4 linked regions of the Arabidopsis thaliana genome follow. The protein of the gene in region 2 interacts with the protein of the main gene of each other region in a pairwise test. Each region holds a gene or a part of one and is shown on either strand. Other genes may lie near its edges. The genes, in order: BSH, SWI3B, FCA and KNAT3.

Region 1 (5,369 bases), on a different chromosome or scaffold from region 2:
ATCTCTCCTAATTAAAGAATCTGAGCAGTTGAGAAATTAAAATCAAAGCCTTAACAGATTAACTCCAACATCATTTAGACACACTTTCCTTGGATACCACCTTTTTACGGAAACTTCGAATCTTACATGTAAACAAATCTCAAAACCATAATTTCACATTTTTACTACTAACTAACTCCAAAGATCTAAACCCATGAATTAAGTATCTAATCGGGTAATTATTACAGTGGTTTTCAGAAATCAATGTGTGTTCATATTTAGAAGGTTGAAAGTTCATAGTTAAATGTGGGGAACCTTATGTTCCTATTATTTATTTATATTAAATTTCAAAGTCGATTAAATCAATTTTTAAATTCAAAATCTATGCAATAGAATCACCTACTAGTCCTTTTTTGTTTAACTAGACAGAGAGAAATAGAAATAGAGAGAGAGAGACATGAAGAGCACTCTCAATAGAGAAGAGAAGGAAGCATGAAGCTAGCTCTGCAGCTTCAAGGTCTCATTAATGGAGGTCTCTAACTCTTGTTCTTCATTTTCTTCATCCTCTGTCGACAGTACTAAACCTTCTCCTTCTGAATCTTCTGTTAATCTCTCCCTTAGTCTCACATTTCCTTCTACTTCTCCACAAAGGTCTTATTCACATCACTTCTCTGTTTTTTCCTATGTTCTGTTTTTGCTCTGTTTTCTTTTGTTCACATTTGTGTTTTAAATCTTTATTTTTTTGTAGAGAAGCAAGACAAGATTGGCCACCGATAAAGTCTAGATTAAGAGATACACTAAAGGGTCGTCGTCTTCTTCGTCGTGGTGATGACACTTCTCTCTTTGTTAAGGTTTATATGGAAGGTGTTCCCATTGGAAGAAAACTCGACCTTTGCGTATTCTCAGGCTACGAGAGTCTATTAGAAAATCTCTCTCACATGTTCGATACTTCAATCATCTGTAAGTAATTAATGAACAACACATAATTCCGTAAAAACAACATTCAACTAAATTCAAACAGTTTGAAGTATATCCATGCATTGTCTTGGCTATAACAGGCGGTAATCGAGATCGAAAACATCATGTTTTGACATATGAAGACAAGGATGGAGATTGGATGATGGTCGGAGATATTCCATGGGAGTATGAATCTTATATCTTGATCTTACATTGGTATAATTTCCTCGGTTATAGCTATTCTCTAATTTTTGAAATCGATGTTTTTGTTTAGTATGTTTCTTGAAACCGTGAGAAGACTAAAGATCACGAGACCGGAGAGGTATTAAAACTTGGATCGGTCAAGGCTGTGATTGCGCAGTTACGAGACGTGTAAGATTTAGGCATTGATGAAGAGACTTGAGGCGGGACGGAGCTATTGCTGCATATTGCAACAAAGGCCTTGAAGAAGTTGGAGAATTGATTGATGCATATATTTATTTATATGACACCTTTGAGTGTGTTTTTTCTTATAAATAAATCACAATATCCAAGACTTCTCTTTTTTGTTCTGAATAATAATAATGCAAAGATTTTTTATATGTTTGTAATCGTGTGTTTCTTCGAATGTGTTACATGACTAGGAAAAAAGTACACGAACGTTGTTATGGGGAGCACGAACATGGAATAGAGGAACGTTGTCAGGAAGAGAATGATTCTCTTTGATCTGCCGGCAGCCGTCTCGTTGGTTGTCACCAATGTACAATTTTAATGTTGAGCCCATTTAAAGCCCACTAAATGACTAACAAGCTCGTTTAAAGCCCAAATGCTGCAATTGATCGTAGGATCGGATCCAGATAATTCGTCCCAAAATGGGAAAATTCCAAATTAGAGGTGAAATGTGTAAAGACATTAGAATATAAGGGTGATTCTGAAATAAATTAAGCTAGCGCCGGAAAAAGATCGAGAAATTGAAATTTCCCACACTCTCTCGCTGACTCTCTTCGAAACTCAATTTGTGAAATTTGGGGGTTTAAGGATGAAGGGTTTAGTGTCTACTGGTTGGAAAGGTCCCGTCAAGTTCAGGATGTAAGTTTCGTCGCTTCCTCTACTTTGTTTGTTTTGAAATCGAAATCGAGTTCATGTGTTTTTGTTTTTTCTGATGAATCGATTTGTAATCGGAGCTATAGGCCCACTGCTGAAAACTTGGTACCTATTCGATTGGACATTCAATTCGAAGGTCAGCGTTACAAAGATGCTTTCACTTGGAACCCTTCAGGTTTCTCTCTTAAAAACCCTACCTTTTTTTTTGTTTTCCATCTTCTCGCATCTTATTACAGTAGCAGTGTATGTGATTCACTGATTCTTGTTTTTGGTTTTGGATACAGACCCGGATAATGAAGTCGTTATCTTTGCCAAAAGAACTGTTAAAGACTTGAAACTTCCCTATGCATTTGTCACTCAGATTGCCCAATCTATTCAGGTTGTTTCTAAACTAGTTCACACTGACCTATCTTTAGTTTTTCTTCTGCTCTGATTTTGTTGTTAGTTCTTTTGCTTGTCATAGAGATGAGCTTAAATTTAAGGTCACCTATTAGTCTTAAACCAATCACACTTTCGACTTATTGTTTTTAACTCTTTAGGTTTTTTTACTCGAGAAGAGGCCTGTTTATAGCATTGTACTTTGGGATGTATATCTGTAAGACTGTGCTTTTGTGATGAATGTACTCTTGCTTCAGTTATGTTCTGTTCTGTTTTTGTAAGTATTGGAATAATTTCTTCAGAAATCTCTACTTACATTGGTCAACTTCCTGCTTTATCAGTCTCAGCTCTCAGACTTTCGGGCTTATGAAGGACAAGACATGTACACTGGTGAAAAAATCATACCAATTAAGGTTTTATGACGCTAGATATCCTTATCCCTCTCTCTTTTGTCCATGAGTGATTTGTTGGAAAAAAAGAAGTTCTAGAAGCTGATAAGCTATCTTTCTTTCTTTTTTGTGCCAGCTTGATCTCCGAGTTAACCATACTCTCATCAAGGATCAGTTCTTATGGGTGAGAATACTTGGTGATTTTGAACAATTTCAACTATTGTTTGTACTCTTTTTCTCAGTGCAGCTTGATTGCCGTTTTGCAGGACCTAAACAATTTTGAGAGTGATCCTGAGGAATTTGCAAGAACCTTGTGCAAGGATTTAGGTGTTGAAGACCCTGAAGTTGGAGTAAGATAACCACTCAATTTTTTACATTTCATTATCTGAACTAATGAACCTAAGTTTCAAACGTTTGATACAAGTGATTTTTGGTTTCTCCTTCTCTCTGAAGCCTGCTGTTGCCTTTGCAATAAGGGAACAACTTTACGAGGTTAAAACTTTGATTGTAACTTTAAGCTACTCTCTCTGTATTTCTGTATACTCTATATATGTTTTCTATTTTGAACAAGAATGCCAAACTTACTGAGTTACCATGTCGTTGTTTTTGCTTGCCAGATTGCAATTCAAAGTGTGGCTTCAGCTAGGGAGAGTAGATTAAGCAAGAAAGGCCGCAGAGGATCTGATCATGGTTCAGCGAGGTATGTTCACGTTGCCCCTATTTGTCTATCCAAGTTACCTTGTGGTAATATTAGAGCCTAGCTCAAAAAATTCTAAAATAACTTTCCATCTTATATGTGCAGCAAGGCAAGTGGCCTGTCAATGGACTTAATGAAGTTATTCAGTTTTAAGTCCAGTGTAGTTCGGTAAGTGATTTTCTTACCCACTTAATGCATACATTTTCTCTGTTGCATTGTCTTCTTAAGATCTGTTGGACGACTGACTTCTAGCAGCTAGATCGTTTATAAGATAAGTTAACTTTGCGACACATCCTGAGCGTTTTTCTTACACATACTCTTGAATGCCACCTCTTCATGCATTATATCATTTGATAGTAGATTATCCCAATATTTGGAGCTGGTCCCTACTGAGATTGTTCTAATAGTAATTTCTGGTGATGTTACATGTTGTTATTGAACATAGAAAACCGAATCACTAGGTTGGAAATTGTTTGATTACAAAATAAACTCTGTGGAAATTGAAGAAGTTCTCTTCCTGCATTGCTTATCACTAAATGGGAGTTTTTCAAAAAATAAGATTTATGGACACGAACAAATTTGACTTGCAAGACCAAGCAAAAGCTATAACAGAATCCAAAAATAACAAATTTTGTCCATGATCTTGACAGGAAAAGGAAAGACTTGGATGTTTATGAACCAGTTGTGGATCTGCTAACAAGTGAGGAAGTTGATGCGCTTGAAGCCAGGGAAGAGAGACATGCAAGGTGAAGAGTTTCGTTTACATGTATAAATATTTCTTAGGGCAACACTCAAAATATGTTGTATCATGCTTAACTTGAGTTAATGATATTAAGACAATCTTTTATGAGACACATAATCCTTAAGATGCATCCGGTGTGTATGAGTGCCCTGGCCTAAGTATGAGATTTCGGTTTAGTAAACCTGGTTAGGTGAAACACCAGTGGGTGTGGAATGAAGAATCTTTAGATGATATAACCTCAATGGGACATGTTAGGTTTGCAGAGTTGAGTGAAACCATTTCTTCACTCTTTGATTAAGATGTTTCCCAAACTTTGAGCATGTTAAAGAATGTTAGAGAGAGAGTTAGAGGATTAAAAAAAATATAGTAATGAAAGAAAGAAAGAAAAATGAAGGAGATTCAAAGGACAAGACACGTTGTGAGAATCAAGTGACCCACTTGAGACTTTAATAAGATCTCATCATCAACCATTAACCTCACTGTCGATATACGGTCGTACTTTTTCTTCTATTCTCTTCTCTTTGCCCTTTTTTTTTTCTCTTTTTCTTGATTCAATGATTGGGTCCCTCTCTAAGCTCAAGCTGCTGTCATCTAAATTAATTAATATGCGAAAATAAAAATTATTGGGTTTATTTTTGTTGGAAGTTTTGTAATTTTGTGTAGAGATTATTGATCAGTTTTTGGTTGTGTACATTTATGAGTTGTACTTGTGCCCTATCCTTTGAAGGTTACATGGATAAACAAGTTAATGTCTTGAATCGGCTGAGTCTTTATTATAGAATCAATTTGATGAATAAGTTAAAAATTTGAAGCTGGTTTTAATATTCGACACCAATATAGCAATCAACCTAACTGAAATTGAAGAAAACTATGTTATACTTTGAGTTTCAACTTATATACTTCTCTAAATGACCAAAAGTTAAAAAAAGATCCATTTGTTTACATAAACTGAATCTAACCGAAATCAAACCAAAAAAAGATGTAGTTGTCCAGCTCTAATCAAGGTTGCAAGTTACAAATGTTTGTTATTCTCTTTGTGGCTATAAAAGGATTTGGGTCTACTTGAGAGACGAAATTGTTTTTTATTGACTGAGAAGAGTAATGACTAATGAGCATAAAGCCTGTACTCTTTATGTCTGTCCGA
Region 2 (5,644 bases):
CCACATGATAAGTATGTCAAATAGAAGGGAAGCAGGTGTAGAAGGCCACATTCGAATAGCTGAAAACTCAAGCTACCAATAGAGAGTGCAAACTAAACTATGGCAAAGATGTTCCTCTTTCTTTCACTTGATGGCAAATACAAGAAGAGTTCCGTCACGCAAAAACCGGCTTAATAATCAAATAGTAAGATTGTTACCTATGACATATGACACACGTACATATATTAAATAAAACCTAAACAACAAAGCTAACTTTCTATTAATGTGCCTCTTTTTTCCAATCAAACTTAATATTTCATTAATAAAAAAGCTTAACCTAGATAAAAAGAGAAATAGAGGATACATCAAAGGTACAAGGAACCGAACCAACCAACACAACAACCAGCAAAGTGATCGCATAAGAAAAAAAAAAGCTAAAACTTAGCAACAAAGCTCAATTAGAGACATGCAGATAACGAGATAAAGGCTGAACTAAAAAATTCTACCAAAGCAGAAACTAATTATAAAGGCCATCAATAAAGTAGTTATGATAAGTTATTTACCTCTATATATTTTTATTTTTTATATTGGGAAATTGTTTAGAATGCAGTATTAATATGTACATAATATATTATGGTTTATATTTTGAATTTAAGATGTAAATTGATCTTTTTAAAAAGAAAAAATAGAGTTTAAATATTTACGAAGAATGGATATTTACTGAATTTTTAGTTAAATATAAAAGATTTTATATTGTACGAGTTTAATATATAAATAAATTGGGTTTGGTTTCCCGATGGGGAAGAAAGAAAAATACACTCTCTTTGTTTCTAATAAATTGATGTTCTACCACTTTTAACTTGTCCCACAAAAAAAACATTTTCGTTTTTTCTTTATTTTTTTTAAATATCACTCACTCCTTTCTAAATTAGTTATGTTTTAGAAATTAAATTTTGTATTAAATTAGTTATCGTTTTATATTTTCAATGCATGTTTTTGAAAGATTTTCCAAAAGAAATTCTTATTGTTTTGGCTGATTAATTGATGATATGATATTAAATAACACATTAATTAGAGATAAAACAGAAAATTCAATGTTTTTTTAGTTTGTCTGAAAAACCTGAACTAGTAAAGTTCAAGATAAAATGATTGAAATTTGTTAGACTGCTATTGGTTTATAGTTATTGAAAATGTTTAATATAACAAACAATACAGAAATGATTAATTAATGACTGTTTCTTAATATAAAAACCATCACTCTTTTAGCAACAAAGAGAGTAATCATGTTACGGAGATACAAAAAAAACATCGGTAACTTAACAACATTTGAAGATTAACCTATTTAGTGAAAACAAAATCTATCTTTTATATCGGATATCTCCAAAACCCTGACATTTTCTATTGTTTCCAAAAGAGCAAAATTAATTTTTAAAACTTTTCCACTTGTGATTGCCTGATAAAGACAAAAATTATACTTCGACGCAGTTGCCATTTGGTTTTGACTTTTATACCAACCCAGCCTTATTTATACCAATTCGATCTCATCTCATTTTGTTACCAACACATCTCAAGTACACTACAATACAAGTCATCTTCTTAACCAGACAAGAATCAAATAAGAAATAACAGTTTCAAATTAAGTGCGTTCTAACACTCTATTCTATCTTCAGTTTTCCGGGCTTTTCTGGTGTGGAAGAAAATGTTTAATTGATCAACGAAAAGCAGATTCCTCACCTCCTCCAATTGTTTCCGGCTTCTCTCCATTTCCAAATCCAATTTCTCGAAATGAACAATCCTATCTCGGATCTTCTTCATCTGTTAATCCCAAATTTTGTTTGTTCCAACATAAATCATCATTGAGTATAACCATATAATAAAAAGTCTATGGAAAGTTGCAGATTGTTACTAACCTCAACTTCAACAGTCTCTTTGATTGCTCCTTCTACCTCATGCTCTTCCTTCTCAATTAAAGACTTTGCATCTGCCCAAGCTCTTTCAGATTCGTTTCTAGTGGTTTCACCACTCGATGCAGCATTGGCATCTGTGTATCAGGAAAACAAAACTGTCACTATTGGGTTTGGCTTAGGACAGAAATGGACTGCAAATAGAGACAGCTTGGTCTTTGATACCTTGTCGATTTGGGTCTCTACTGGCGTTTTTGTCAGCCTCGTAGTCTACATCAGATAAAGCTCTCACTGCCGCTCGAGCTGCTGCTTCTGCAACATTTGTGCCAGCCAAAGCTGAAAGAAAAGCAGCCTGAAGAGGACATGATAGGATAAATCTTATTCAGAGACAGCCAATGAAGCATAACAATTGAGGTGTGATAACACAGTACAGAATTATCTAACACATATTTGATTCTTAAATGCCTTATATATGTCAACTAGGGTTTGTTATTACTAGATTTCAAAGTAAGCCCCACAAGGTATTCTAGATTTAGGTTCTTTAAGGAGACAAAAACGCAAGTCGTGGAACAGCCTAGTGCAGACACTGGACTATTCTTCAGTAGCCTAACAATGTAAAAGCATTTCCACGCATGTTGAAGACTTATACAAATAAGATTAACATAGAGAGAGAACGCAACTACTCAAATTGTAGTGTCTTTCTAACCTGAGCCATTATTGGGTTGCTTGCATCTGCAAGAGGTGTTAATTTGATCCGCTTGTTGGGAGAAGAACCGTCTTTATCTATTCCTTCAGATTCAGGAATATCAGAGTCCTTGATCTGATCAAACATCTCTAAACCATCCTCAGAGTCAGACTCTTTTACAAACTGTTCCCCAAACGGAAGCTTGACAAACTGAGAAACACAATCCTTCTCCGTTCTACCAATAACATGCGATGCAACCTTCTTCCAATCATCTCCATAGTGCATAACAGCTTCCAGCAGCAGCAGAATTTCCTTATCAGACCACTCTGGCTTTGACTCCTCACTAATCTCAACTCGTTTAAACTCCGAGGAGTTAATACCAACACGATAATTACTACGAACATAGCACCTCGCACACAATGTCAAGTCATACTGAAAACAAAAATGTACATAATCATTCTAAGTGACAAACTCAGTGAATGAAATTATTACTATGGCTACAAATTATGAAATCAAACCTTATCACAGGCGAAACAAGCTATGCTGCAAATTGCTTTGCAGCCATTGCAGTTTCTCTTGGCAGTTTCTTTGACAGTTGTGGCTGGCTCAGAAGCAGCATCTCCGGCGGATTTTCCGGCCTCTTTTTCTTCCCACTTGAGCGGCTTAGCAGAGGCGGAGCTATTATAGTTGATAAGTCCCCATGAATCGAGGAAATCAAAGACGCGACGAATAGAGACAACATCACTGACGAGAGTTCTCCGAACGTCAGTGAAACTAATCTTCCGAGGATGGTCGTCTCTGTACTGCTTAATAATCGAGTTCCTCAAGTAGAGATAAAACTTAGGGTTTTTGGATGAAGATCTCGAATCGAAAAATTCCGGCAGTGACCGGACCTCGCAATCGTTAATGTCGGTCCATGAAAACCAACCTAATTGGTTAAATAGACGGTACAAGTACAAAATCCGTAAGAAACAGTGAAGAAAGTAGAATAAATCAAAGTTTTCTCGGCGTTGCAGACTTACTGGAGTAGCTAGGTACGTGAATATTATCGATATCGGAAGAAGAAGACGGCAATTGAGCCGACTTAGAAGCTGCTGCGGCGCCTCCAGACGTAGTTTCGGAAAGAGAGGGAGTGCTCGGGAGAATTTCCCCAGATCCGCCGGGATCGGGAGCTTTCATGGCCATGACTCTCTGTTTAACTAACGCAACTTCGCCGGAGAAGGAAGAGGGAAAAGAGAATCTAGCTATCGAGATGGGCAAAGTTAAAAAAAAAGTCGGATATCTAAACGGGCCTGGTTTGGGCCCTAATACAGGTCCATTAACCTGGCTTTAGTTGTTAAATATTGCGAATGTTTTTTTAGTCCCATGGTCAGCCAAGATGTAGTGCATCTGCTACGCTAGGCTTAGAGGTTAATTCGAATGGTGAAGTTGTGCGTTACTGATTTCATGTATTAATGGTGAAGTTATCCTTTGTAAGTAGGTAGAAATTGGAACGTATCAAAGAGATATTGGAACATAGTTATGGAAGGAGTAATTGTAGATTGGTCATAAAAGTAATGGTGTCTAAGAAAGTAACAAAAACTCAGAAGTTCATGATGGAAAATATGTTGCACAACTCTTATTCTTGAGTAAAAGATGAAAGAGCGTGTGCAGATAGGAACACTTAACACATGGACCCAAAACACTCATATGCTATTCGTTCCCAGTTTTCAGTCCACAAGCTTAGCTTTGCGGTAGCTCTCAACAGAATCCACAAGTGTTTCCTCCAACGGCCGGTAAGTCCAACCCAACTTCTGCAACTTCTCTGAACTCACCTTCACTTTTCCATCCGCTTCGATGTATCTGATATTGGATAAGTAGAATTTAGATCAAAGGTAAGGTCTAAAAGAAACTTCAGAGACATTGATGTAAAGGTAAGTGACACTGTTTACTGATGAAAGTAACAAAAACAGCTTATTAAGGTTTAAAGGTTTTCACTCAAATTGGGTAGAGAGATGTGCAGCTGTTGTTTGCTTACCTCTTTGGGTAGTTGTAATTTAGATAAAGACTTTTCAGCTTCTCAGCGACTTCTTGTTCCCTAACCGTGTGGCCTATGCAGATGTACCTTCCTTCAGCTTCTGCTTTCTCATAAACCAAAAGTAAAGCTTGAGCCACATCACGCACATCTACCAAATGCCGTTCTTGGTTATTACGCGATTCATAACCCTCTGCACCACACTTAAGTATAAAATCAATACCAACTCATATACCAAGTTGCTGCTTCTAACAATCCCAGATGAAATGAGAGGCTTGTTTATAATACCTTTAAGAAGCTTGAGAAGAACAAGGCTACTAGCATTTACTGTGTGCTGCTGCAATACAGGTCCCAAGACAAGGGTAGGGCAAACACTGACGAGATCAAGTCCGGTTCGTTTTGCAAATTCGAAAGCTTCACTTTCTGCTCGTGTCTTTGACAAAGAATACCAATTCTGCCAGAGGGACGAAAGTCAGATTTAAAAGAAGAAAAAAAAGTGAGATGAGGGATTCAAGATGCATTATTAACCTCAGTTTTTTTGCAATAATCTTGGTCAGACCAAGCGGTCTCATCTAACACTTGACTCTTTGACCACATAGGGTTCATAGCAACTGCAGATACAGAGGAAACATACACAACACGCTTAACTTTTGCTTCAACGCATGCCTTAAGCACATTCAGCGTACCATCCACTGCAGGTGCGATCAAATCTACCTGCAAAACCAGTGAAACCATAGTGAGACAATGCATATAGCCACCAATGAGATTGTAAAAATGAAATCCTCACCTCAGGATTAGGGACTGAAGCAGATGGAACAGGGCAAGCGACATGGAAGACGCCGCTGCAGCCAGCAATAGCAGATTGAAGAGAGCCGTAGTTGAGCAAATCAGCCTTGAAGAGCTTGAGTTTGTCACCAGCTTTATCAAGCTTCTTCAAATGAGCATACTTTTCATTACCTATAACAAGAACCATGCGAAACTCTTCATCAGAACAATAGACAAACTCAAAAGGCTTAATCTTCTGTCTGTAGACAGAAACATCGGAGCTACAAAAAGAATTGG
Region 3 (5,446 bases), on a different chromosome or scaffold from region 2:
TACAAAACAACAGCCTGCATTAAAGACTGATACTTAAGCTATCTGTTTCAGGGTTCAACTTTTCCTTCTACCATCAAATTGTACTAGTAACAAGATGTACTACTCAAAGCACATAAGTTCAGTAGGAAAATCATAAGACATGTCTGACAGCCTCCACTTAAATATTGATGTAAAGTTGTTGGAGAGAATAAATTAATGTCTTCAAATGGAGAATATGGCAAAAACAAATATTAAAAAATTGAACACAGTCAGTATCTGCAGATAACATATCTACAAGAGGGCCTTTCAGACAAAGGGTGGCTGCATTTGTCCAAGCAGGATCCATTTGAAAGAAAATCTAGAAACATGTACAAGTTAATTAGCAACATAAAACATAACTATAGGTCCAAAGTAACGGATTCAGTATGTAAGAATCTCAATAATTGATGAGTAGCGGATAATCAAAACCAAAACATATACACATTTTCGTCACCATACATCAAGCATTTGAAGACTTCAAATAAAGAACTACAGTTATGGGCAAGATAACTCATTGGAAAAAAATCTAATTCAGAAAAGAATACGATTGCTTCATGTAATACATAATTAGGCCCCTGCCTGATGCTGATTGATCAAGGGCAAGAGAGTGAAGTCAACATGCTGTATTAACATCAGAAACTATTCTAAGAAACTAAAACAATCAGGTTCCTTCCATATGTTTGCACCACCTAACATAATAATATTTCACAAGGCTGAAGAAAGAGTTGTATGGAATCTAGTACATTCAACCGCGATCAAAAGTGTTTATGTCACCACAATCAGATGCATTTGTTCTGCCATCCACAAAGGTGTAGCAGTTATAGAAATAATAACTTCTTGGAAAGTCAAGAATTTATAAATAACTATGCACGTACAAACACACCATTCATCGTCTAGTATTTCTTCACACTGACAAAATAGAGACAGAACTAAATGGAGTAGTAGAACAGGAAATTCAATAATAAAATAACAGTTGCACCTTGCAAGCACAAAGGCTTGATTAGCGAAAAGGGAGCATACAAAAAAAATCTATCATCAAACATTTCTTCCACATAAATATCGATCAGCACTGCAAGGGCCACCATACAGACATAAGAGCTACTCAACAAAATATTCATTCATCTATGACGAGAGATGGTATATCACATCACAAGCCATCCAAGGAATAGAGACGTGGGAACATACAAAATACATACATAAGAACTACTAAACAAATCATTCATTCACCTATGACGAGAGATGGTATATCACATCACAAGCCATCCAAGAAATTGAGAGGGACGACCATACAGAAAGCACACATTTCAGGCCATTCAAAGAGAGTGGAAAGAAATATAGCCATCATAGTTCCTCAGGCCATCAACAAAAGAAAAGGAGAAACGCATTCATTCCAGCATCACTCATCCAAAAAGGTAAAAGGAATGCCATCATTAACCAATAGACAGCACACCCATAAATTGATATGAAAGAAAATGAAGACGCCAAACCTCCAACATGATAAAATTAGAAAGACGGCCAAATCTTTGACCAGCAGGAGTGGCAAATCAAGAAACCATCTTTTGAACCTCATGTCCTTATCAAACTACCAACTTAAAAAAATACATTCATCCTGTCAAGACCATACACAACATCTTCAATCCATCTAGAGGAAGAGTAAAGAAAATGAATTTCAATAGGAGAGGAAAATAGCGATGTTCTTATAACCAATTCCCACTATAAAGGCAACAGCAAAATTCAGTTCTCTGTACATTAACTCCAACTCTAAAACACCCTCAATAAATTCTACACTTTTCAAACACATCTAAAGTTCTAGAATACACACAAGTAGCGAAATCTATTTGCCCAACATAAGTACATAAACCCTTTCTTAGCACAGGTAGCCTTCTTCTGTGACAGAATCGAACACAGATAAGACGCTGGCAAGCATAAGCAATAAGCCCGAAAATTGTTGCAAACAATTGGAGGCCAATGATGAGACTGGGGTTGCTTCCCATCAGCCTTTTCAGGGAGACCTGAAATTTTAAAAAGTATAATTCACGACTATTTCCTAATAAAATGGAGATTGACATACCTTGCTGCTGTCCAGTTCTCTTGTCCTTGATCAGAGCAACCTCCAGAACATTTCCATGCTGTTCGAAATAGGGACGGATCTACAATATGAAAACCAACAGAAAAAATTTAGAAAAGGTTCTCAGTAATGAGTATATAGATAACAATGATTTCCAAGATTAACTCACTTCTTCTTCTGTAGCTGTCCTTGGTACAGATCCAACAAAAAGCTTGACTGTACTGCTACGATCAGAGACATCTGCAAATCAAATTAACCAGATAAGGATACACATGAAGATGGCATATAGTTTTGATTATCACATACATGGGAAAATCGAAAGGATCCTCTAGAGTCGATCCCATGAAAAACCTTCAACAATACAGTAACATAACAACCATACTACCTTTCAATACTCTAATCATTGATTCCCACAAAAATAAGAGACACTCAGGAACCTTAACAGACTACAAGAATAAATATACATAGAAGAAAGAAGAGTGAACTCATGCTTACCAGTTCCAGTAAAGCTGCCATGGTCTGAGATAGGATACCCTCTTTTCTGACCGGAAAGAGGCTGCTGGACCGGCGGTGTAGTCGGTCTTACAGAATAATCAGACTCCATTGCTTTACCGATAAATCTCCTCCTGTCTGGACTCTCTGAAGGAGGATACTTCGCGGGATAGTTATACCGAGCTCCAACAATTGACCGTGTCCCTTCTCCTCCCACACCACCGTTAGGACCCATTGGACGAAAACCATCATCGTAGGCAAACCCCATAGGCCGAAAACTTCCACCATGGTGAGGACCCATAGGCTTAAAATCTACTCTATCTGGGGGACCATTCATCTGCCGGAAACCTCCATCTCCGGGACCATCAAAATCCTTAGGAGTGTCATCTTCCCAGCGTCGACCACCATTACCTCCTCCTCCGCCCCCAATTCCAATTCGATAATTGCTAGGGCTGCTTCCACGACGACGACGGTGGCGGCGAAAATCATCATCATCCTCTTCGAAGCGTGAATCTGAGGGACGAGATGGACCTCTGGGATGGGCTCGGTGGTTATGGTAGGAATCCTCGTAGCCGCCACTCTCATGGCGATCCCTTCGGTGTCTGTCCAGCTTGACGTAGTGGGGAATTGCGATTCCAGTCGAAGAAATCAAAGGACTAGGAGCCCTAGAAATTTGGGATCTGTATGAAACCAAAGAGAGAAGAAACGAGTATCGAAGATGATGAATTTGATTGAAGATGAGATCAATTTAGTTGCTCGAAATTTTGATTTTTTTGTCCGAATGTAAAAAAGAAAAAGCGGTCTAGTTACGGTAATAGTGGTTGGACCGGTGATTCAGTTGAAATTTGGACCGGTAGACTTTATTGAGTCTTGGCTGATAACGAAAAATACAGCTACTTGGGCCATCAATATATTTATATACTGCCAAAAGGGGGATACAATTGTTCCAATGAGTTTTCGTTAACAAAAGGAAAAAAATTGACATTTCAGGTAACTCTCACATTCTTAAGTCCAATCCAAAATTCTCATGTCAACTATATGCTTCAGAAACATTTTGATATAGTACATGCATTTCATGGCGTTTATTAAATCATGTGTTGGGTGATCAATAATATAAAGTTCTAAGTAATGCAAAATACTTGCATCACTATATGAATTTAGAGGATATATGACTAGGTCTGAACTACCTTTTACCTAAAATAATCAAATGAATATTTACTGTTCGTCTCCTTCATCATGAGTCACTAGATTCATGAGTCAATAATCAATGGCTTTGTCTTGAGTCAAGTTAATCGTTTAACAGGTTTTTAATGGTTTGAAAGCAAAAAGAAATCTTACCAATATATATAAGTGTAAAATGTAATCTCTATATATCACAAACACAATATTGTTATTTAATCTATGATCTTATTATCTCAGAAAATTAATCTAATAATTAAATGACCTATAAATAAAGAACTAAAACAAAAAATCTATCATTGATGAAAAATACACAAAATAAGAGAGAAAGTTAAAACAAATGTTTTTTATTATTTCAATTTTTTTTTTGCCAAAAACAACAAGATACATGTACTAAAAAATTACCAAAAAGCAAAAATATGGCTTCACCATCCAACTTCCCATTTTCTTGACAATACATCTTCACCGCTCGCTGAATTCCAAAGATAAAGGCCATCAGTTTTTGCAGTCCAAATGCAATTCTTCCAACCGCATCTATGGAACAAGATAACATCATCCCAAAACACGTTTACATTCATATGACCATTATCTTTGTTCATATAGCACCAAAAAAAAGTTGAGTGAAGCATATTTTCTCCGAAGTTCCAAGAAAATCTATTTCTAAACTTCAGATTAATTTCACCTAGATCATCTTCTTTAGATTTACAATGGATGAAAAGAGTTTCACCAGTTGTCAAACCGTTAACAACCGTGACTTGCCACTCAGAAATCTTCGGGACTATAATGTCTCTCGTGGTGGTGCCGCCGACTAAGACATGGTCTTGACATGTTAGGGCCAGAGAAAAGCAAATTGCCAAGAGAAATTGTTTGATGCAATTCATACTTTTTTCAGGCAAGCAAAATCTTTAGGGAGAACTTTTTTGTTACTTCTTTTTATAATGGAAGAGTGAAACGGTAATTGACGTTTAATTAAATTTTGATGTTATTACATTGCATTAATGAAGAGTCATGCTGCAAATCATTTAAGTGATTGCATGTTAATTAGAAATGAAGCTGAAAGGTTAGTACATATAATAATCCAAGTACGTAGATGATTGTGGCATAATATATTAAGATTAAAAAATACTAATTTATATTGTGGTGTAAGCTATTAGTTTTGAATTTATTATGTGAATCAATTTTAAAAGTTATTAGTTTTTAGATTTAGATTATGACCCAAGAATTCGAAGTATATAATCGAAAAATTTAATGTATAAAAATAATAATTCAACATGGTCGATCGGGTATTTATTTCTAGTAAAATAGTATTTCATAAACCTAATTTTAGTTAACTATATAAATTATAACACTAGTAAAGTATTCTGCCTTTTACGTTACTTTATTGGGATTAATAAAAATATATTGGATTCGTTGAAATCCAATAACAAATTGTAATTTTGATCTTTGATTCATAGAAACAAAAAGTTACGAAATTAAAGAAATTTTTAAACAAAAGAGTACTCGACCAGAAAAATATGTTTTTTTTTCTATTTTCTCACTCATATTTTTCAGATAGAGAAAGCAATTTTCAGTACACCGAAATTAAAATCCGACGACTAAAAATAGTTTCTTCTCTCTCTCAAATCCTTCTGAGAGGAGAGGTTTCTTGTCGATGGAGTTTGATTTCGGTTTTGTCTGGAATTTTATATA
Region 4 (5,570 bases), on a different chromosome or scaffold from region 2:
TACCACACTCACCATACAAGCTACCATCCATCTTTATGTCACCTGTCAAAAAGGAATCTCATGAACTAGCAATCAGAATTTTGTAACGGCCAAATCAAGCACAAAATGTCAGAGACGAACCGGTGGGGCGAGAGAGCGAGAGGCGGTGCGAAAGCTAGAGGAAAATGCGGGTTGGCTCCGTGATAGGGTTTGTCGCCACTGTTTCTGCTATGTGAACGGAGTCGTCGTCGGAAGATTTAAATAGGTCTTTGATTCAAAATAGCGCATTTTTAGATTGATGGGCCAGGTCCAATATCTGTCAATCGGCCCAATTTTGTAAATTGAAACGTCTAAAGTGTAAACCAGAACGTAAACCGGGTTGTATATTGAAAGCTGCAATTTGAAGAAGAAACAAAGCATAACAAGATGGTGGTGGTTATAATGATTACATGAAGACAGTTCTTTACCCTACAGTTGGTAAAAGACCTAATTTGGCTTCTCTAGTTGGTGGGTGATAACGGTAAACTTTTGAATATCACTGTGAAGCATCGTCCAAGAGACCAAAACTCCGATTATTATTTGAATTTAGAAGACTAACACATACTAATGTTAGACTTCGTTTATCAAACCATTTATACAATCCAAATGACAATTCTCTAAGTTAACAACTTTGATGTTCATTACAAAACTACTTATATGAATCTACTTTCCTAGATTTAATCTAATGTACTAATGGGCTTCTCATGAGACTAGTCTTTGAACTTTGTATGGTCCTCTAATAGAGAGGCGACCAAAATACTTAAGGACACTCTAATTATCTTTGTTAATGTGTGCAGAATCTCTCCGTGATCGATAGAAAAATCTCGCCGAAAACTTACAGTAACTTGTGGCTATCACAAACGTGACAAACGAAACAACAAGATGAGGATAAACAAACAATTTTGACTAGAAAAAAGAACACGTTTCAAATTATTACAATTACAAAAGTACGCAGCAAGCTACGTTATGTAAGATGGGGTATGTTTTATTTTTTGTCGTCATCTACCATGTATAATGTCTTTTACTTATCAAGCCAATATCACGAGTTGGAATGTGACATCGCAATAAATACTACGAACTAAGCGGATAAGAATCATAAGATGGGTTAAGTACGGTTAATGCGAAACATATACTGTATAATAGTCACATAGATTAAGCTAACCAAGTGGTGCGATACAAATTAACATATGCACCTGGTCAATGCGTAACATATACTAGTAGATTAAGAAAACTTGTGCATCCCAATGTTCTCCTCTCTCACTATCTTTATTCACAAGATATATTATGGATGATGATGATGATTATCTGATGGTTCATAAAAAAAAAACTCATGCAGACAAACAAACAAAAAACATTAAACAAAAGCCTGCATCTTCAGTTTTCATATTTTCTTTTTGGTTTGTGTGCTACTTAATAAAATATATGGGCATAATCACATAACCAAACTACGTTACTATGTAATTGCACAAAAAGTTACTTTCTAATACTGTCCCCTCTCTCTGTATAATCCAAACTCCTCCATAAAATTCTCAACTTTAAATCCCTAAAACCCTGCTTTCAAATCCCATCTTCCACCTCCCCAATTCACATCATATGTTTGTTGTTTCTACGCGAACCGCTCTCTTCCGCTATTGTCACCTGCATTGCTTTCATCAGACAAACAAAAGTTTCAGTCTTCTTTGAGTCCGATCCATAAGTTTTTCGGTTATGTTACAAGACTATATTAAAGTATAATAATACCTTTTGCGTTTGTTCTTCAATACAGTGGAAGAAGATGGATTGCTATGCCAGTTCCTCTTTCTCTGATTGATGAACCAATTGTTTATCTGTTTTAGCTGCAAACCTGTCTCTTGCACCAACCTCGCCTTATCTTCCTCCTACAAACCAATATTTGGTTATGGCTCAATGAATGAACTTGAAGAAGTTATAAAGAGATGTTAGATGAGTGAACTCACAGTAGGGTAAGGCCATTTGGAATGAGATTGCCACCAAGCTTTGAGAACAGAGGTGGTATCTCCTGGTAACTTCCCAGCTCTTCTCTTCCTTAATATCTCCTCTCTTATGTCTACTATCTTCTCCTTGTAACCCTTTTCATCAACAAGACAAAGCCCTCTACATTGTTAGTTCATGAACTAGTTCAAAGAACAAGTTTGTTGATTATTACCTGTTTGAGTTCATGTTTAAGTTCTTGTCTAACTCTTTCCATCAACGACCTCTCACTCTCAGTAGGAATCAAAGGACCAAAACCCAACACATCTAATCCCCCATCGAACATATTAGCATCACTCTCTACTTGTTCATCTTCATCGTCAGACATTGTTGCTCCCATCCCTTCTCCAGGAGACACTCCTAATCTCACCAATAAAACACAAAACTTGTCAATGTCATAAAACTAACTATTGGATTCATGAGCTAATCACAGGATTCATTTTCTCACCTGTTAAGCTTTGAAGAGACTGCTCAATCTCCCAACAAGCCATCACAGCTTCCATTGCATGAACACGCACATGTTGTTGCAATTGCTCTTTAAATGAACACAGTAGCAACACATAATGTGTCTACACCATAAAAAAAACATTAATCAAACACACAATAAACACAAAGAACAAAATTTGTATTTTCTTCATCATCATGACCATTATTATATCATAAGCTCTTTTTTTGGGATTTTAGTCTTGTTTATCCCTAAAAACACAAATCTTGATTTTAATATTTTAAGATTTCAAAAATCAAGAAACCTAAGTCGGTGTGTATTATTAAAATTTGTGCTAAGTATAATTATGAAATCGTTAATTATAAAATTATAGAACAAAAAAATCTGAAATTTATATACCATGAACTGGTCAAGTTCTTTATCGTCGCCGACGAGACCTTGAGCGGCGGCGCCTAAAGCTGAGTATTTAGCGACGACGTGTTGAGACTGAGCAAGCTGAGCATCGATTCTCGGAAGCTGATCAACCGGAGTCGCGATTCTCAAACAAGCAACGTGCGCCGACAAAAGCTGCTCGTAAAGAGGATGCGAAAGGATCTCCGCCTTGTGTCTCGCATTCTGCCAGCTCACTACTCCATCCGCCGCCGTAGCTCCTCCGCCGTCGTTTTTGTTTTCTCCACCGCCGGTTTTCATCTCTCCCTGAATCATAGTGTCTGCTCCTCCGGTGACATCATCGATCCCATCTCCGACTATGGAAGCGTTGTTGTTGTTGTTTCGTTGGAGGAAAGAGGAGGAGCGAGATAGCCACTGGTTAGCAGCGGCGGCGGCGGCGGCGGAGGAAGGAGAATCGGAGCTGCTTGCGGTTGTGGTGTTAGCGGTGGCTGTGTGGAGGTTGAGGAAGTTATTGTTGTTATCTGAGGAACGAAGAAGCGCTGTGTTTAACCAATTAGGAGGCGGTGCTTCTTGGAAATGTTGTTGCTGTTGCGGAGGAGGAGGAGGCGGTTGCGGAGGTGGAGGTTGGTGTTGGTCGGTGAAATGATTGAAGGAGAGGTCTTGTGAGAGATGATTGTGATGAAACGCCATCGTTTTGGTTTGACCTTTTTTTTTTTGTTCTTTTTGAATTTTGTTTCCTGTTTCTGAGAGGGAAAGATAAAGAAAGAAGGTGAATCTCTGCTGCTTCTATGACGACGATTGTTTCATATGTTTCAATTATCACCAAAAAAAAAAAAAAAGACACAGAAACTTTTCTTAAAATTGGAAAATAATTGGTTTTTGTGGTGTGTATGTATGTATCTGAGTATATATGTGTGGGTGTGTTCAGAGTTGCACAGAGCTGAGAGATCGAGAGATGACCATTTATTCTCATATTTATTCTTTCTTATTTTTTGCAACCTATTTATCAATATAATTGAATTATTATATGGAATTTATTAGATAAAAAAATATTCCTTCTCTATTCCTTATTATTTAATTTTTTAGAGGAAAAAAATTGTTTTAAAAAAAATAATTTTTAAATTTTCTATACATTATTTATTAGTTATTATTGATAAATTTTTAATTTTAAGATAAATAATTGAATATCATTGGTTTAGAATTATAAAAAAATATAAATCACAAAAGATAATATGTTTATAATTAGTTTTAATATGTTTTTTAATATATGTGTTTTTTTAGAAAATTAATTTAAAAAAAAAAACTGAAAGATAGTAAAAACAAAACATTTTTTTAAAAATCGCTTATGAGAACTTTTATTTGTTAAATATTTTTCTAAATGCTAATTAAAAAGTAAGACAAAAATTGATTTTTTTTGTTAAAGAAAACAAAAATTGATTTTTTTTGTTAAAGAAGACAAAAATTGATGTCACCTCGTATAATCAAATCAACTGATAAAATCTTTTTTGATTTAACTAAGAATTTGTAAACTTTCTTCTATAGTGATATTATTATTGGGGGAAAGATAAAAATCCGACATCATAAATTAACCATAGAAAGCAAAAGTATTTAATAAATCAGTACGCTACATAATAAACAGTGCATTTGAGAAAATAAGATAATTTAGTTATGGTTGACAAAAATGTATTTTTTTTTCTTTTCCAATCACTTTGGTCCACATAGACCTAAGAAAGAATAAATATAAAAGTAAGTGACTAATGAAACAACAAATAGAAGATTAGGTCACGACAGAAAATTAATTAAAGAAAGTAGGTCGTCATGGTTCGATCTATGTCGTTAAATTTTAGTGGCGACTGTATTTATTAAGATCTGACGGCTGCGAAAGGTCGTTGCCTTCTTCGACTGTGTTTGATTTTTTTTATTGTTGGGAATAATAAATGTATTTTTCCTTTTTAAAAAGAGTTGCTACGTGTTGTGTTTTAAGACGCAACGTATCTATGATATGAAGAAGCGCGTGCGTTTCACGTTCAGATGTTAGTGTAATTTTATGGCACTATGAAACAAATTTAACTTATTTATTTATACAATTATTTTTTGCTTCACGCCTTTACCTATTATAAATCCTTCTCGTTTTATGTAATGAAGTTACGAGAAATTATTGAAAACAAAAAATTTAATCATGAATTTAAAGTTACAATTTTAGGTTAAAGATTTGAAATAAAACAATCTTTTAAGAATTTATTTATATGGATTTAAAAGACCTAAGTACCAGAAAACAAATTAGCTTATTTGTTTATGCACACTATTTTTTTGCTTCACCCTTTCACCTTTTTAAAATAATAATAATCATTTCATATAATATAATTTGAGAAATCACTGGTTCTTTAAAATCACATAATTTTCTGAAATCACAGTTTTTGGTAAATATAATTTTTAGATTTTTTTTGGAGTGAAAATTTTCGTACATGCTACGAAACAGAAATTTGGTATAAAATTTGATGGTAGTATATTCGATCGTCACAATAAAAGTTATCGTATATTTTTTTATTTATTTGAGTTTGGTTAAAAACTTAAACGATCAATTAATTTAGAGATTTAAACTTAATTGTGATGAATAGCGTCCTTTTGGTAAATTTTTAGCATTTAATAAGAAGTGAGACGCAAATAGGTCTAGGTTAACTCATACTATAAATGTGTGTTAACATAGTCACATATATAACTTCATCTT

What was found.
Region 1: the proteins of SWI3B (region 2) and BSH interact in a two-hybrid assay, tested with the Arabidopsis thaliana proteins (one study listed by BioGRID).
Region 3: the proteins of SWI3B (region 2) and FCA interact in a two-hybrid assay, tested with the Arabidopsis thaliana proteins (one study listed by BioGRID).
Region 4: the proteins of SWI3B (region 2) and KNAT3 interact in a two-hybrid assay, tested with the Arabidopsis thaliana proteins (2 studies listed by BioGRID).

Annotation. Positions count from the first base shown.
Region 1 is NC_003074.8:6,016,177-6,021,545, reverse strand, and holds BSH (transcription regulatory protein SNF5, putative (BSH)), read left to right. Parts: upstream 1-1,879; 5' UTR 1,880-1,954; coding exon 1,955-2,004; intron 2,005-2,099; coding exon 2,100-2,194; intron 2,195-2,303; coding exon 2,304-2,398; intron 2,399-2,738; coding exon 2,739-2,810; intron 2,811-2,922; coding exon 2,923-2,970; intron 2,971-3,052; coding exon 3,053-3,136; intron 3,137-3,239; coding exon 3,240-3,278; intron 3,279-3,403; coding exon 3,404-3,486; intron 3,487-3,588; coding exon 3,589-3,651; intron 3,652-4,133; coding exon 4,134-4,233; 3' UTR 4,234-4,334; downstream 4,335-5,369. Other genes in the region: IAA31 (indole-3-acetic acid inducible 31), read left to right, coding at 506-630, 728-939, 1,038-1,122, 1,211-1,265. UniProt on the Arabidopsis thaliana protein: Component of a multiprotein complex equivalent of the yeast SWI/SNF complex, an ATP-dependent chromatin-remodeling complex, which is required for the positive and negative regulation of gene expression of a large number of genes.
Region 2 is NC_003071.7:14,227,132-14,232,775, reverse strand, and holds SWI3B (switch subunit 3), read right to left. Parts: upstream 3,805-5,644; 5' UTR 3,754-3,804; coding exon 3,591-3,753; intron 3,497-3,590; coding exon 3,087-3,496; intron 3,001-3,086; coding exon 2,590-3,000; intron 2,236-2,589; coding exon 2,109-2,235; intron 2,021-2,108; coding exon 1,890-2,020; intron 1,795-1,889; coding exon 1,627-1,794; 3' UTR 1,368-1,626; downstream 1-1,367. Other genes in the region: CRL2 (NAD(P)-binding Rossmann-fold superfamily protein), read right to left, coding at 4,278-4,410, 4,586-4,775, 4,871-5,036, 5,111-5,296, 5,370-5,539. UniProt on the Arabidopsis thaliana protein: Component of a multiprotein complex equivalent of the SWI/SNF complex, an ATP-dependent chromatin-remodeling complex, which is required for the positive and negative regulation of gene expression of a large number of genes.
Region 3 is NC_003075.7:9,211,498-9,216,943, forward strand, and holds the start of FCA (flowering time control protein FCA), read right to left. Parts: upstream 3,329-5,446; 5' UTR 2,916-3,328; coding exon 2,582-2,915; intron 2,327-2,581; coding exon 2,256-2,326; intron 2,169-2,255; coding exon 2,090-2,168; exon of another isoform or gene 15-2,089; coding exon 1-14. Other genes in the region: SPH1 (S-protein homologue 1), read right to left, coding at 4,183-4,638. UniProt on the Arabidopsis thaliana protein: Plays a major role in the promotion of the transition of the vegetative meristem to reproductive development. Plays a role in the regulation of flowering time in the autonomous flowering pathway by decreasing FLOWERING LOCUS C mRNA levels.
Region 4 is NC_003076.8:8,734,170-8,739,739, reverse strand, and holds KNAT3 (homeobox protein knotted-1-like 3), read right to left. Parts: upstream 3,797-5,570; 5' UTR 3,533-3,796; coding exon 2,852-3,532; intron 2,577-2,851; coding exon 2,456-2,576; intron 2,368-2,455; coding exon 2,183-2,367; intron 2,106-2,182; coding exon 1,974-2,105; intron 1,896-1,973; coding exon 1,759-1,895; intron 1,665-1,758; coding exon 1,625-1,664; 3' UTR 1,139-1,624; downstream 1-1,138. Other genes in the region: AT5G25230 (Ribosomal protein S5/Elongation factor G/III/V family protein), read right to left, coding at 1-31.